Linked DNA regions of Bombyx mori. Each later gene encodes a partner of the first gene's protein in a complex. Links are inferred from orthologs where the notes say so. Each region holds a gene or a part of one and is shown on either strand. Other genes may lie near its edges.

Evidence for each region.
Region 2: general transcription and DNA repair factor IIH helicase subunit XPB (region 1) and DNA-directed RNA polymerase II subunit Rpb4 share a complex: the UniProt entries of both Homo sapiens proteins name them as parts of the TBP-based Pol II pre-initiation complex. The link is inferred for Bombyx mori from reciprocal best matches to the Homo sapiens genes ERCC3 and POLR2D.

The regions. Positions count from the first base shown.
Region 1 is NC_085117.1:11,798,180-11,801,679, reverse strand, and holds part of general transcription and DNA repair factor IIH helicase subunit XPB, read left to right. Parts: coding exon 1-152; intron 153-669; coding exon 670-818; intron 819-1,869; coding exon 1,870-2,021; intron 2,022-2,646; coding exon 2,647-2,813; intron 2,814-3,295; coding exon 3,296-3,466; intron 3,467-3,500. UniProt on the Homo sapiens protein: ATP-dependent 3'-5' DNA helicase/translocase. Binds dsDNA rather than ssDNA, unzipping it in a translocase rather than classical helicase activity. Component of the general transcription and DNA repair factor IIH (TFIIH) core complex.
Region 2 is NC_085114.1:9,604,149-9,613,657, forward strand, and holds the start of DNA-directed RNA polymerase II subunit Rpb4, read left to right. Parts: upstream 1-4,594; 5' UTR 4,595-4,704; exon of another isoform or gene 4,705-4,713; intron 4,714-5,511; 5' UTR 5,512-5,878; intron 5,879-9,509. Other genes in the region: uncharacterized protein LOC119628842, read right to left, coding at 2,333-2,481, 3,442-3,600, 3,778-4,017, 4,210-4,258. UniProt on the Homo sapiens protein: Core component of RNA polymerase II (Pol II), a DNA-dependent RNA polymerase which synthesizes mRNA precursors and many functional non-coding RNAs using the four ribonucleoside triphosphates as substrates.

The DNA.
Region 1 (3,500 bases):
TACGCGGCAGTTTCGGTGGGCCTACAGACCAATGACATTATTGAGTACCTGCAGAGACTGAGCAAGTGTGCTGTACCGGCCGGCATCGTAGAGTTCATTAAACTATGTACCCTCTCTTATGGTAAAGTGAAGCTGGTGTTAAAACATAACAGGTCAGTTCTGCTTCATTGCTTGTCATCCATCTAAAATAAAATTAAGCTAGGTAAGGCTAATCATTTTATTTTTCGATCACGATTTTTAGTAGCTTCTCAGATGAGCTGGTGAAAAACATGTTCGTACCGGTATAAGGACTTCAATGCTCCCTGTGCTGTGTAGCATATGTATTATGGGGACGACTCTGAGGAATTTTTTGCCTAGGAGTGTGCCACCGAATTTACTAATATTCATTGCATAAATAGCGACCACCCTCCTGATGCTAATAGCAAAATATGCCTTCACAAAGTTCATTAAAAGCTGTTTATTCAGAGCCAGAAAGAAGAGTATTTAAACAGTTAGAGTTTTTTTATTATTTATTACCCTTATAGGCAGACGAGCATACGGCCCACCTGATGGTGAGTGGTTACCGTCGCTCATGGACTTCAGCAATGCCAGGGGCAGAGCCAAGCCGCTGCCTACCGTATATAAAAACGTAGTACAAGAATACTGTTTGTAATAATATAAAGTTTGCAGGTATCTAGTCGAGAGTAAGCACGTGGAGGTACTGCAGAAGCTATTGAAAGATCCAGTGATTCAACAGTGCAGGCTGCGACGCGACGGCGACGAGGATCTGCTGTCCAACGACCTGCCCGCCAAGCCAGCCACGTCCCTCGCCAAACCAGGTGACGTATGCCTCAGCAAGACGCGGCGTCGAAGCGTAATACTTAGAGTTGGTTTCCTGTAAGCGGTCGCGGTTTTAACATCGAACGAATGGTACCTAGTGATCGCCTTTGACTATTTTGCAAACAAAGGGTTTATCTAAATTGGAAACAATTAACATAGAGCAACAAAACTTCCATCAAGTGATATGTCCCAATATTTTTGATTAGTATAGATATACATAAACACGAAATGTTTATAAAACATTCTTTTAGGTTTTGTTAGATTTAACAAAAAAATAACAATTCAGATACTCTCTTAACTTATAGAGTGACGCCGGAGGTTGTTTTCAAGTCATAATAACTAAAATGTTATGTGTGATTTGAATAAACAGGACTAGTCATATAGTGGAAAAATAGCATAGTGTGCATTACAGTGGAAAGTCGTCGTGGCCTAAAGGATAAGACGTCCAGTGCATTCGTACCTAGCGATGCAACGGTGTTCGAATCCCGCAGGCGGGTACCAATTTTTCTAATGAAATACGTACTTAACAAATGTTCACGATTGACTTCCACGGCAAAGGAATAACATCTTGTAGTAAAAATTAAACCCGCAAAATTATAATTTTCGTAATTAATGGTGGTAAAATAAATAAAAAATTGTTACGTTACAAATATTTGCTTTTTTTATTGCTTAGGTGGGTGGACGAGCCCAGAGTTCATAGACATCTACAATATAAATACCGTCACCCACCTTGAGATATGAGTAAGGTCTCAGTATAGTTACAGCCGCCCCACTCTTGAAACCGAAACGCATTACTGCTTCACGACGGAAATAGGCAGGGTGATAGTACCTACCCGTGCGGACTCACAATACGTCCTACCACCAATTACTTATTTGCCTATTTACATATTACTGATTGTGTTGCCGAATTTTAAAACGATGACGTACCATTTGTAAGAAGCAATTTGTGTATGTTTCTGTAGTGACCTATAAAACTTATCCTTAAAATAATCTCGTAACTGTCTGTCCATCTGCGTCTTAAGTTTACTTGACTGCTTCTCAAACGATCAGGTGAAGAAAAACCACCGGCGGCGAACGGCGCTGTGCCCGACGACATCAGTCAGTTCTATCAGCAACTAGATAAGGATGACGACGAGGAGGAGACCTCTGGTGTTACTGCCAACGCAGCTGTTGCCTTTGAAGTGGATCCTGACAAAATCGAAGTGAGTGTGCCAATGAATATTAATCCTATTGAAAATTTTAGCAACCCATACATTTTTTTTATTGCTTATATGGGTGGACGGGCTCACAGCCCACCTGGTGTTAAGTGGTTACTGGAGCCCATAGACATCTACAACGTTAATGCGCCACCCACCTTGAGATATAAGTTCTAAGGTCTCAAGTATAGTTACAACGGCTGCCCCACCCTTCAAACCGAAACGCATTACTGCTTCACGGCAGAAATAGGCAGGGTGGTGGTACCTACCCGCGCGGACTCACAAGAGGTCCTACCGTAGCATCGGTCACCACTTTCGTCGAACCCGTCGCTTGCGACGAAGGGCTCGGCGAGTAAACTTACCCACCGACCCAGCCCACTGAGTTTCTCAGTAGGTCGCGTTTCCGATCCGGTGGTAGATTCTGCGAAGCACGGCTCTTGCTAGGGCTAATGTTAGCAACGTCGTCAGGTTTAAGCCCCGTGAGCTCACCTACTTGTTAAGGCTACGCTGAAATGGTCTCTCAAGACCATCAAGCTTAGATAGGGAAAAAATAATAAAAAAAGGTATTTAAAACATACTGTGTGTTCAAAAAAAAAAAAAAAAATTGTTTTATAAACCATTTTGTTTTAAGGTAATACAAAAACGTTGTATCGAGTTGGAGCATCCATTGCTGGCTGAGTACGACTTCCGGAACGACTCCATCAATCCGGACATCAACATTGATCTTAAACCAACTGCCGTTTTGCGACCTTATCAAGAGAAGAGCTTGAGGAAAATGTTCGGCAACGGCAGGGCGAGGTGAATAGCCATTGCTTTGTTTGGTTCTGACAAAATTAGTCTATTCAGTCACAGGAATACAGCAAGGCAGTGATTTTTGACACGATGACATCATGCATTGCACGCTGACTAACATAGGCAATTGATGGAATCGAAGCTCGGGGTCGGGTGAGAAACGCATTACTGCTTCACGGCTGAAATAGGCGGGTGGTGGTACCCACCCGCCCGGACTCAAGAGGTCCTACCACCAATTACTTATTTGCCTGTTTACATATTACTGATTGTGTTGCCGAATTTTAAAACGATAATTTTTATAACACGATGTTATTCCTTCACCGTGGAAGTCAATCGTGAACTTTTGTGAAGTACTTATTTCATTAGAAAAATTGGTATCCGCCTGCGGGATTCGAACACCGGTGCATCGCTCGACACGAATGCACCGGACGTCTTATCCTTTAGGCCACGACGACTCAGTAATGCACGGCACTTCCTGTATGTACCAGGTCAGGCGTGATAGTGTTGCCGTGCGGCGCCGGCAAGTCGCTGGTGGGCGTGACGGCGGTGTGCACGGTGCGCAAGCGCGCCCTCGTGCTCTGCAACTCCGGCGTCTCCGTGGAACAGTGGAAGCAACAGTTCAAGTGCTGGTCCACGGCGGACGACAGCATGATCTGCAGGTCACTGACCCCATTATTTTAACCGACTTAAGGC
Region 2 (9,509 bases), on another chromosome or scaffold:
ATTACAACACACTGCATAAATAGTTTATCAAAAAATTTTAATATACGAAATAAACTAAAATATACTATAATTTTTTTTTTGTGGTTTTAAATATATATTCTTGTTTAAAATGTTTTTCTTTTAAAATGATATAATTTAATAATATTAACATTATTATATATTCGCAAAATTTGGCGGCACACTTTTGAGATTTGGCGGCACACAAAGGTGCCACGGAACAGTGGTTGAGAATCACTGTTCTAAGGAATCTTGCATAGGTTAATAGGTGTTCCGAAACACATTTTTGGACGGACCGTTAATCATGTAATGGGTAGCGGGCGTAATTAGTGCCACCATATTATACCTATTTCTACCGCGAAACAGTGCTTGTATTTGAAAACTGTTATGTAATACAATTGAGTCTTAGATCGCACGGATCAAGGGTTTCCTTTTTTTATTGCTGAGATGGAGCGACTTGCACACTGCCCACCTGGTGTTAAGTCATCGGAGTCATTGGAGCCCATAGACATCAACAACGTAAATGCCGCCACCCACCTTCATATATGAGTTCAAAGTCAGCGCTCTATACAACGGCTGTCCTACCCTTCAACGCATTACTGCTTCATGGCAGGGCTCACAAGACACCCTACCACCAGTAAAGGGCTTCGGTGATCACTTAGCGCAGAATTAAAAACATAAGCTGTGGTATGTATCTACACTACAAGTTCCGACCGACTGTATCTATATACTATCTTGAAAGCGTAATATGTTATGTACATCGGTGGAGTTATTATAACACAGTCACGCTTTAGTGAAAGATCATAAGTTTGAATTATGAAAAAAATAACAACCACCTTTTTGCTAGCTATTTTATCAACCGAGCCATTAAGTTTATTATTAAGTCTCGTGTAGATAGTTACCTCTGTTAGCTATCAAGATTCATTTGTAAGGTCTGCATTAAATTTTAGTTAAGTCGGTGGTTCGTTTAGGTTTGTTTGGGTCCGATTGCCGTGGCAACGACTAGCCTCGCTTTCATATCACATCTTAAATTGACCTTATGTAAATTAGAGGCAATAATTGTGAATGTCGAGGTCAGAACCTTTTTACCATGAACCTAATTTTGTAACAATACGTAGGTGTTTTTGGTTAAATTGAGGAGTTCTACGGTTAATCGCCCACTCTCTTCCCGGTAGACCATATAAAGCGCTTTCATAGATTAAGTTGTAAGATATTTCTACTGTTATACTTATTATTATTATTTTAATATTAGTACATTTAACTCAGACTGGTGGTAGGGCCTCTTGTGAGTCCGCATGGGTGGGTACCACCACCCTGTCTATTTCTGCGGTGAAGTAGTAATGCGTTTCGGTCTGAAGGTTGGGGCAGCCGTTGTAATTATACTGAGACTTTAGAACTCATATCTCAAGCTGGGTGGCGGCATTTACATTGCGGATGTCTATGATATCTGGTAACCACTTAAGAGGCCGTGAGCTCGTCCATCCATCTAAGCAAGTCTTGTGGAGAAAATCGCTGGATCCCCAACCGCGCGGCAGGTGGGTATGTGGAAGTTAAACCTCGGTAAAAACTCTTGCCGCTCACAGCCGGTGCCCTACCCCAGACCGGGCCGGAGCCCAGTCGGGGCTATTGCGACGGCGGGACAGGATTAATACAGAGCATATTACATCCATCCCGCGGTCTCACAAGTGTAAAGTGGTTACCAGAGCTCATAAAAATCATGAGGTTAACAGTCTCATTTGTGTTGTATAATGGCTGTCCTACCCTTTAAACCGAAATTCTTGATAACATCCCAACAAAAATAGGCCAAATGGTGATACCTCCCTATAAACCCCATACCCACAAGTAAATGGCGATTGACGATCGTCAGAGAACCCTGCTGCCCATTCTCCAGTAACTCTCTTAATCGCTTTTTGCGTCACTTACGGGTAAATATGAGAGATGGTATTCTATAGCCAAGATAGGGTAGTAATTTATCACTGTTCCGAGTTTGGGAATGGATTTTTTACTCATATTTTTTTATATCTATTACTAAATATAATTAGAAAGATAAACACAAGTTTTTACATATTTTTTAATTATTACAAATTAATACAATATAATTTATAGAAAAGATACAGTCAATTTTACTCTACTACACTCATGTATATCAGTAAATGTTATTTTGTATTTGAAACTTCTATAGGATTATACTAAATAATTGTACAATTTACAGTACAAGATAAAAATAGTAAGTTTACACTTAGTCATAAGGCCTTTAAAGCTTTATAATTAAATTGTCTGTGACTTTTAAAACATCCAAAAATGACTTGACATAGACAATACTGACGAATGAGCATTAAATTATTTTTTTAAATGAAGAAATTCCAGCAACACCAATTTCTGCAAATAAATAAGCATTTTCTTCCATGTTCAAATATGGGTCAAATTCCCAAGAACTAACATAAACTTCAATGAGGCTTTCATCTCTACAGTGTGCTATGTTTTCTGAAAACAGAAATTATATACATTAATTATGTTTATAATTATAATTATCAGCGTCGCGCAGCGAGCTATGGAGATGGCTATGCTTGGTATTTCTCTACGGGGCCGAATCAGAAACGAGGAGATCCGTAGAAGAACCAAAGTTACTGACATAGGCCGTAGGATTAGCACACTGAAGTGGCAGTGGGCAGGCCACATAGCGCGAAGATCGGACGGCCGATGGGGCGGAAAGATCCTCGAGTGGAGACCACGTACTGGCAAGCTCAGTGTGGGACGGCCACCTACGAGATGGACCGACGACCTGGTAAGAACCGCTGGGTCACGTTGGATGCAGGTGGCAACGGACCGGCTGCACTGGAGATCACTTGGAGAGGCCTATGTTCAGCAGTGGACAATGGACAGGCTGAGATGATGATGATGATGAATTATGTTTACCTTAAATTACCAATAAGATAAAAATGTAAATTATTGAGTTATCACAGAGTTGTCAGGAAGCAGTATGTGAAATCTATTCTGTAGCAAATAAAGCCGGATATTTTCTGAAAATTATGTTTTGTATCCCAAAAATTTTCTATTAATTATTATTATTTATTTTGTTTATTAATTATTTTGGAGGCCTGCATAGAATTGAATGGTTTTAAAAAAGGGAATACTTGTCTTAGAATTCTAATGTAATCACGGGCATGTTGTTTTTATTCATTGCTTAGATGGGTGGACGAGCTCACAGCCCACCTGTTGTTAAGTGGTTACTGGAGCCCATAGACATCTACAGCGTAAATGCGCCACCCACCTCGAGATATAAGTTCTAATGCCTCAAGTATAATTAAAACAGGTTCCCCACCCTTCAAACTGAAATGCATTACTACTTCACGTCTAAAATAGGCAGGGTGGTGGTACCTACCCGTGCGGATTCACAAGAGGTCTTACCACCAGTATGTTTCAATAAATAATAATAATTTTCACCTGTCACAATTTTTTTTAGTTTGTACTCCTTTAAGAGTGATTCATATGTATTTTTAACACAAGCATGAATTCGGCCTACTGACCATGTCAAAATTACTGGCTGGTCAGTCGACTGCAATTTTGATAGTGAATCCAGTTGATTTTTTAGTATTTTTATACCTGAAATGAAACATTTAAATATGACATAGTTCAGTTTTGCATTAGAATTAGATTGATTAGAAAGTTAATGTATATTCCATTCCATTAAATTGTTTAAACTGTAACATTATTAAAAGTAGTCTCACATACTCCAATATTGTAGTTGATTGTTAGACTAACATACATCATTTTACTTACCCTCGATAATATTTTGAAAGCTATCTATAATTTCAACTAAGCCCTCAGTCAATGGCTTCAATAGGTGCGGATAATAATCATCATTATACTCGTGCAGTTTCACTGATGAGATCCCTTTACAAAACTTAGAACCTTTATCTTTTAGTTTGACCCAATCAATTAACAAACTATGAAACGAAGACACATGTGAAAATACAGTCTTTGATAAGCCTGGTTGGTCTTTATTTGGAGTTGTAATCTCTGAAATAATATCATTTATTAAATTACTTACTATTTCAATCGACATGGACAACAGAAATTTTGTTTGTTAAACTTTTTCTTCTTAATCGATGATGGGCAGACAAACTCACAGCCCACTTGATAATAAGTGATATTGATACCCAGCAACGTAACCATAATAGTTTATAAATCAAACTCTATGTAAATAATTACCTCTAGGTACAAAGTTGATAGCCAATTCTTTTATTGGAGTTTTGGACATTACGAACTTATTACTTAAATTTGAAATAAATATCTTTAGCCGAGTCTCTAAGTAGATAATAAAATTGAAGTGTTTTTGTTCTTCTTAATTTTTCAATATTGCAATTGGCTTACAGCCAGCGGTTACAAGACCTTCTAGTCCAGCTATAATATAATTTCTACGTAAAGAGCACGTAGAAATTCTAATCTGATAAATCAGAATTCATATGAAGCTAAATGAGATGAACTTAACTAATGTTAGTCTTTAAATTTGAGTGACATTATATGAAACTAGGATGTTTTATGATGCGTAAGCCGGATCGCACAAGAGGTGGGAAAAAGAAGATAGTCTGTGACACGGGACCTTTTTACCGCCGGGAGTCCGGGACTTTTTGGCGGGAACGCGAGGAGTGAAGTTGTGTGATTTGTTTTATTTTGTCGATTTAGTATTTCTTCAGGTTTAAATGTGTAATAACGGTGATTTATTAACTGTTTAATATCTGTGAAAGTTCACAAATGTGGGAAAATGCAACAAAGCCGCTGAACATAACTTCCCCGGAATCCTCCAAAAAGTCCACTGAAAAAAGGACATGGACCATACATTGCACGCCCCACTAAACGAACATCATCATCAGCTTATCTATTATTTATATTTATCGATTAAATATGTTAATATATTTTGCTAGTTTTTTGTAATACATTGTTTTCTTTAAGAAGATTTAATATGAATTATTTAAAATATAAATATATTTTACCCATGGCAGCTCCTTCAATATTATCAATGTAGCTTAATCATGCTTAAGTATTTCTTTTTATTTATGCTTTTGATTATCCCACCATTAAAATACCCTTAAATTTTATAATAAGTATGTAAAAATGAAATGTTTTTTTCTATAGATATTTTATTAATGTCCTTGAGGGCACGAGTAGCTGGGCCGAAAATGGCCCATGTCCTTTCATTAAATGACCACCATTTTACTGAGATTATATTTCATCCCATATCATCTCATCTCACTATATTTAATTTCATCTTACTTGATTATTGTCTCAAATTAATCATCTTCATTGCATTTCACTTCTTTCCATTATATAATTTTTCATAAAATTAAGAATATGAATTAAAATAAGACATGACCTAAAGGTCTTAGTTGAGCTGGACATAAAATACCCAAAAAAATTTTTTTTACCGCTGAATATTTAAAGGACGAAAAAAAAAAATGGTATAACTTAGAACTGTATAAGCCGCTGCAACAATAAAACTCCTATTGTTTCAAGTGTGGTGTTAATTACATAAAACACGATTTTCCCGCGAAATAAAGAAGGGACTTTATACGGACTCCCTCAATGGGATGAAATAAAATCGTCTCAGTAAAACAAGGATTATTAACTGAGAGTTCAGTGGACGTGACTAATGGATGCTCTGGATGAAATTTAATGAAACTAAATGGAATGAAACGTGTTAAGATGAAATAAATTAAAGATGTTCCAGTAAAATAGTGGGAATTTATTGACACTTAAGTATACTATCGAAGTAGTAGGTAGGTAGACTATCGAAGAACGTAAGATGTGCCGGGGCCACGGTAGTCAAAGTTGATCAGGTGATAATTGTGTAAGTGTGAAGGCTGGAATAGTTTCGACACAGGTAATTATTTTCATTTGAGAAGTAAGAATGGAAAATTTATCTAGTGGGTATTATTTTTCAATCATGCAACGTGGTGTTAAAATTTACATAAGCCAACTACTGTTCGCGATTTTGGAGCAATCTTTTTTCCGTGATAGTTCCCATTACAGAATCCTTTGCTAAATCGACTAATCTCCCTTTGCCTGTCCAAACTAGGGATGGTCTGTAACAGGTGAAATTAGAGACCTGTTCCACCTGTTCCTGTTCCAGCGAAAGAACAGTTCCAGTAGCCTGTTCCAATATAACAGCGTTTTGTTTTGCAACAGGTTTAATAATGTTTTAAATAGAATATGTCCACTTATAGGAACAGTTATAACATATGAAATGGTTTTAATACATTTTTTTAAATGAAAACAATCCTTCATGCTTTCTCAGGCTTAGGACTGACAACTGAATTTATTAATATTAATGATATGTGAAGCTAGTTTTGCCAAAATGTACTTAATACTTTAAATACTAACTAATATTGGCGAGGACTGCTCTCCCTCCGCGCCTCCGGTTTTTTATATACACTCTAGGGGTAGGGCAGACAAGACCAGGTGGAAAGTGATGTGCTCTGATTCGGTTTTCGATATTTTACGAATATTTTTGCAGTTTTATATCCAAAACACGAGCAATTTTACTGTTTTATATTTAAATCTTGTTTAAAAAGTTAATTTATTACAGAGACAGATTTTTTAGATGAGTGGACGAGCTCACAGCCCACCTGGTGTTAAGTGGTTACTGGAGCCCATAGACATCTACAACGTAAATGCGCCACCCATCTTGAGATATAAGTTCTAAGGTCTCAATTATAGTTACAACGGCTGCCCCACCCTTCAAACCGAAACGCATTACTGCTTCACGGCAGAAATAGGCAGGGTGGTGGTACCTACCCGTGCGGACTCACAAGAGGTCCTACCACCAGTAATTACGCAAATTATAATTTTGCGGGTTTCATTTTTATTACACGATGTTATTCCTTCACCGTGGAAATCAATCGTGAACATTTGTTGAGTACGTATTTCATTAGAAAAATTGGTACCCGCCTGCGGGATTCGAACACCGATGCATCGCTCAACACGAATGCACCGGACGTCTTATCCGTTAGGCCACGACGACTACGGGATTTTCCCGGGGATGAAATCCCGTCTTAACATTAGTACGGGTACCGCCTAAGGCGAGACTTTCGGCGCGCATCGCGGTACCGTAAGTTTCGTGTAGTCGGTGTGGTGGAGCTCGATGGGGTTTAGTCGGTAGTCGTTCTGCGGGGTAAGTGCTTCGCGCGCCTTTTTCAAGGCGTAGTCTCCTATGAGAAATTGGGGCAGGTGAAGGACCTCGGCCCTTCTCTTCTCCCCTTCTTCCTCTCAGGAGGCCAGGCCAGGAGGCGCCGGAGTCCGACATAACCCGGTCCGTTACCCCCCTCGACCGGGTAGCGTATTTCCATTTCCGTGTTCATTAGGAGGCAGTACTGCCTTGAAACACGCACGGGTTTGTCGCGCTAGCTTCCTTTACAAAATCGTGTTCAATTCAAGGCACGTGTCCTCAAATCGCGCACGGGTTTGCAACGCCAACTGCCCTTCTAAACACGTGTTCAATTCAGGGTACGCGTCCTCCAATCGCGCACGGGTTTGCAAGTATGCGCCTTGATTAAGCTCCACAAATCCGTGTTTGTTCGAAGGCACTTTTGTGTTTAATGAATAGGCAAGAAAACTCAAACAAAGTCTTTAACCTTTTATTAGGATCAAAATATATCTACACTCGGGTGCAATGAAATCGCACATCTGTACATTTTTTGAAAAATATTATTTACTTCTTTTTATTTAAAAAAATACATATATTTTTTAACATAAGGTTAAAGGATAGTTCAATACCTATTCAATGATACCACATAAGACATGATAAGTTTACCTGCCTGCTGAAACAAAACGACAACAGCAAACTCCAAAAATTGCTCCCTCAACTCACTGCAGTTTGCAAGACCAACTGCAGGTATAAAAAGGCATGTTTTGTATAAAACGTCATCCCTCCCGACTAGGCGCGTCAACACCTCCGCCCCCGCCGTTCGCCCAATCACGATGTTCGACCAGCCCATACCGTGGGCCCCGAAGGTCAAATATTTAGGCGTCACCCTCGACAGTAGGATGACATTCCGCCCCCACATCAAGACGGTACGCGACCGTGCCGCCTTCATTCTAGGACGTCTCTACCCGATGATATGTAGGCGAAGTAAAATGTCCCTTAGAAATAAGGTGACACTCTACAAAACTTGCATACGCCCCGTCATGACCTATGCAAGTGTAGTGTTCGCTCACGCGGCCCGCACTCACTTAAAGTCATTCCAAATCATTCAATCCCGTTTTTGCAGGATAGCCGTCGGAGCCCCGTGGTTCGTCAGGAACGTCGACCTCCATGACGACCTGGACTTAGAGTCCATCAGTAAGTATATACAGTCGGCGTCAATGCGCCACTTCGATAAAGCGGCACGACACGAGAACCCTCTCATCGTGGCCGCCGGTAACTACATTCCCGATCCTGCGGACAGAATGGAAAGCAGTCGACGTCGCCCAAAACACGTCATCTCGGATGCTCCCGATCCACTAACGGTGCTTCTAGGTACTTCAAGCACCGGTCACCGTTCTCGTCGAACCCGTCGCTTTCGACGAAGGGCTCGACGAGTAAATTAACTCTCAGACACAGCCCACTGAGTTTCTCGCCGGATCTTCTCAGTGGGTCGCGTTTCCGATCCGGTGGTAGATTCTGCGAAACACGGCTCTTGCTAGGGTTCGTGTTAGCAACATCGTCAGGTTGAGCCCCGTGAGCTCACCTACTAAAGTTAGGGTTACGCTGACATAGCCTCTCAAGGCTATCAGCTTAGGTAGGAAAAAAAAAAAAAAAAAAAAAGTCATTAGATGCAAGCCAACGTTAACCTGATAAGACTTCTAGTGACTCCAACGCCACAAATCCGTGTTTGTTCGAAGGCACTTTTGTGTTGTTTAATGAATGGGCAGGAAAACTCAAACAAAGTCTTTAACCTTTTATTAGGATCAAAATATATCTACATATATTCAAAGATGTATGAATATGGTATTGTATTGCAGGCAATCAACGTAGGTACTTATACAAATATAATTAAGTAATTTTATAAAATTAATGTTTTTTGGCAGGAGGCTCATTATCATCAATATTAGATGCAATATTATGAACACGTTTTCTTTTCACCGTTTCTGACTTGGCTGGTCGTCCTGATTGAATCCTTCCACTGCATGGTAAACCTTTCTTTGCGGCGAGCGAGCGATGTTGGTTGTACATTAATTTTTCGAGATTTTCGTGCGACATTTTTTTCAACTCTAAATGATATAATACTCGATGGAGTTTGTAGCTTCGACAAATCAGATTCAAACTTTGTAAGAATGTTTGTGTATGCAGCATTTGAATCCTTTTCCAAGATATCAGTAATTCTTTGCCACTGAGCTTTAATATTTTGAATAGCAGTGTCAAAGTTTTCATTGTTTATAATTACACTGTTTTCCGCTCGATTTATTGGAAGTTCAAAAGTGTTTGGTACAACATCATCTGGTGTAATAGAGTCAGTTTGGCTGTCTTCACTATT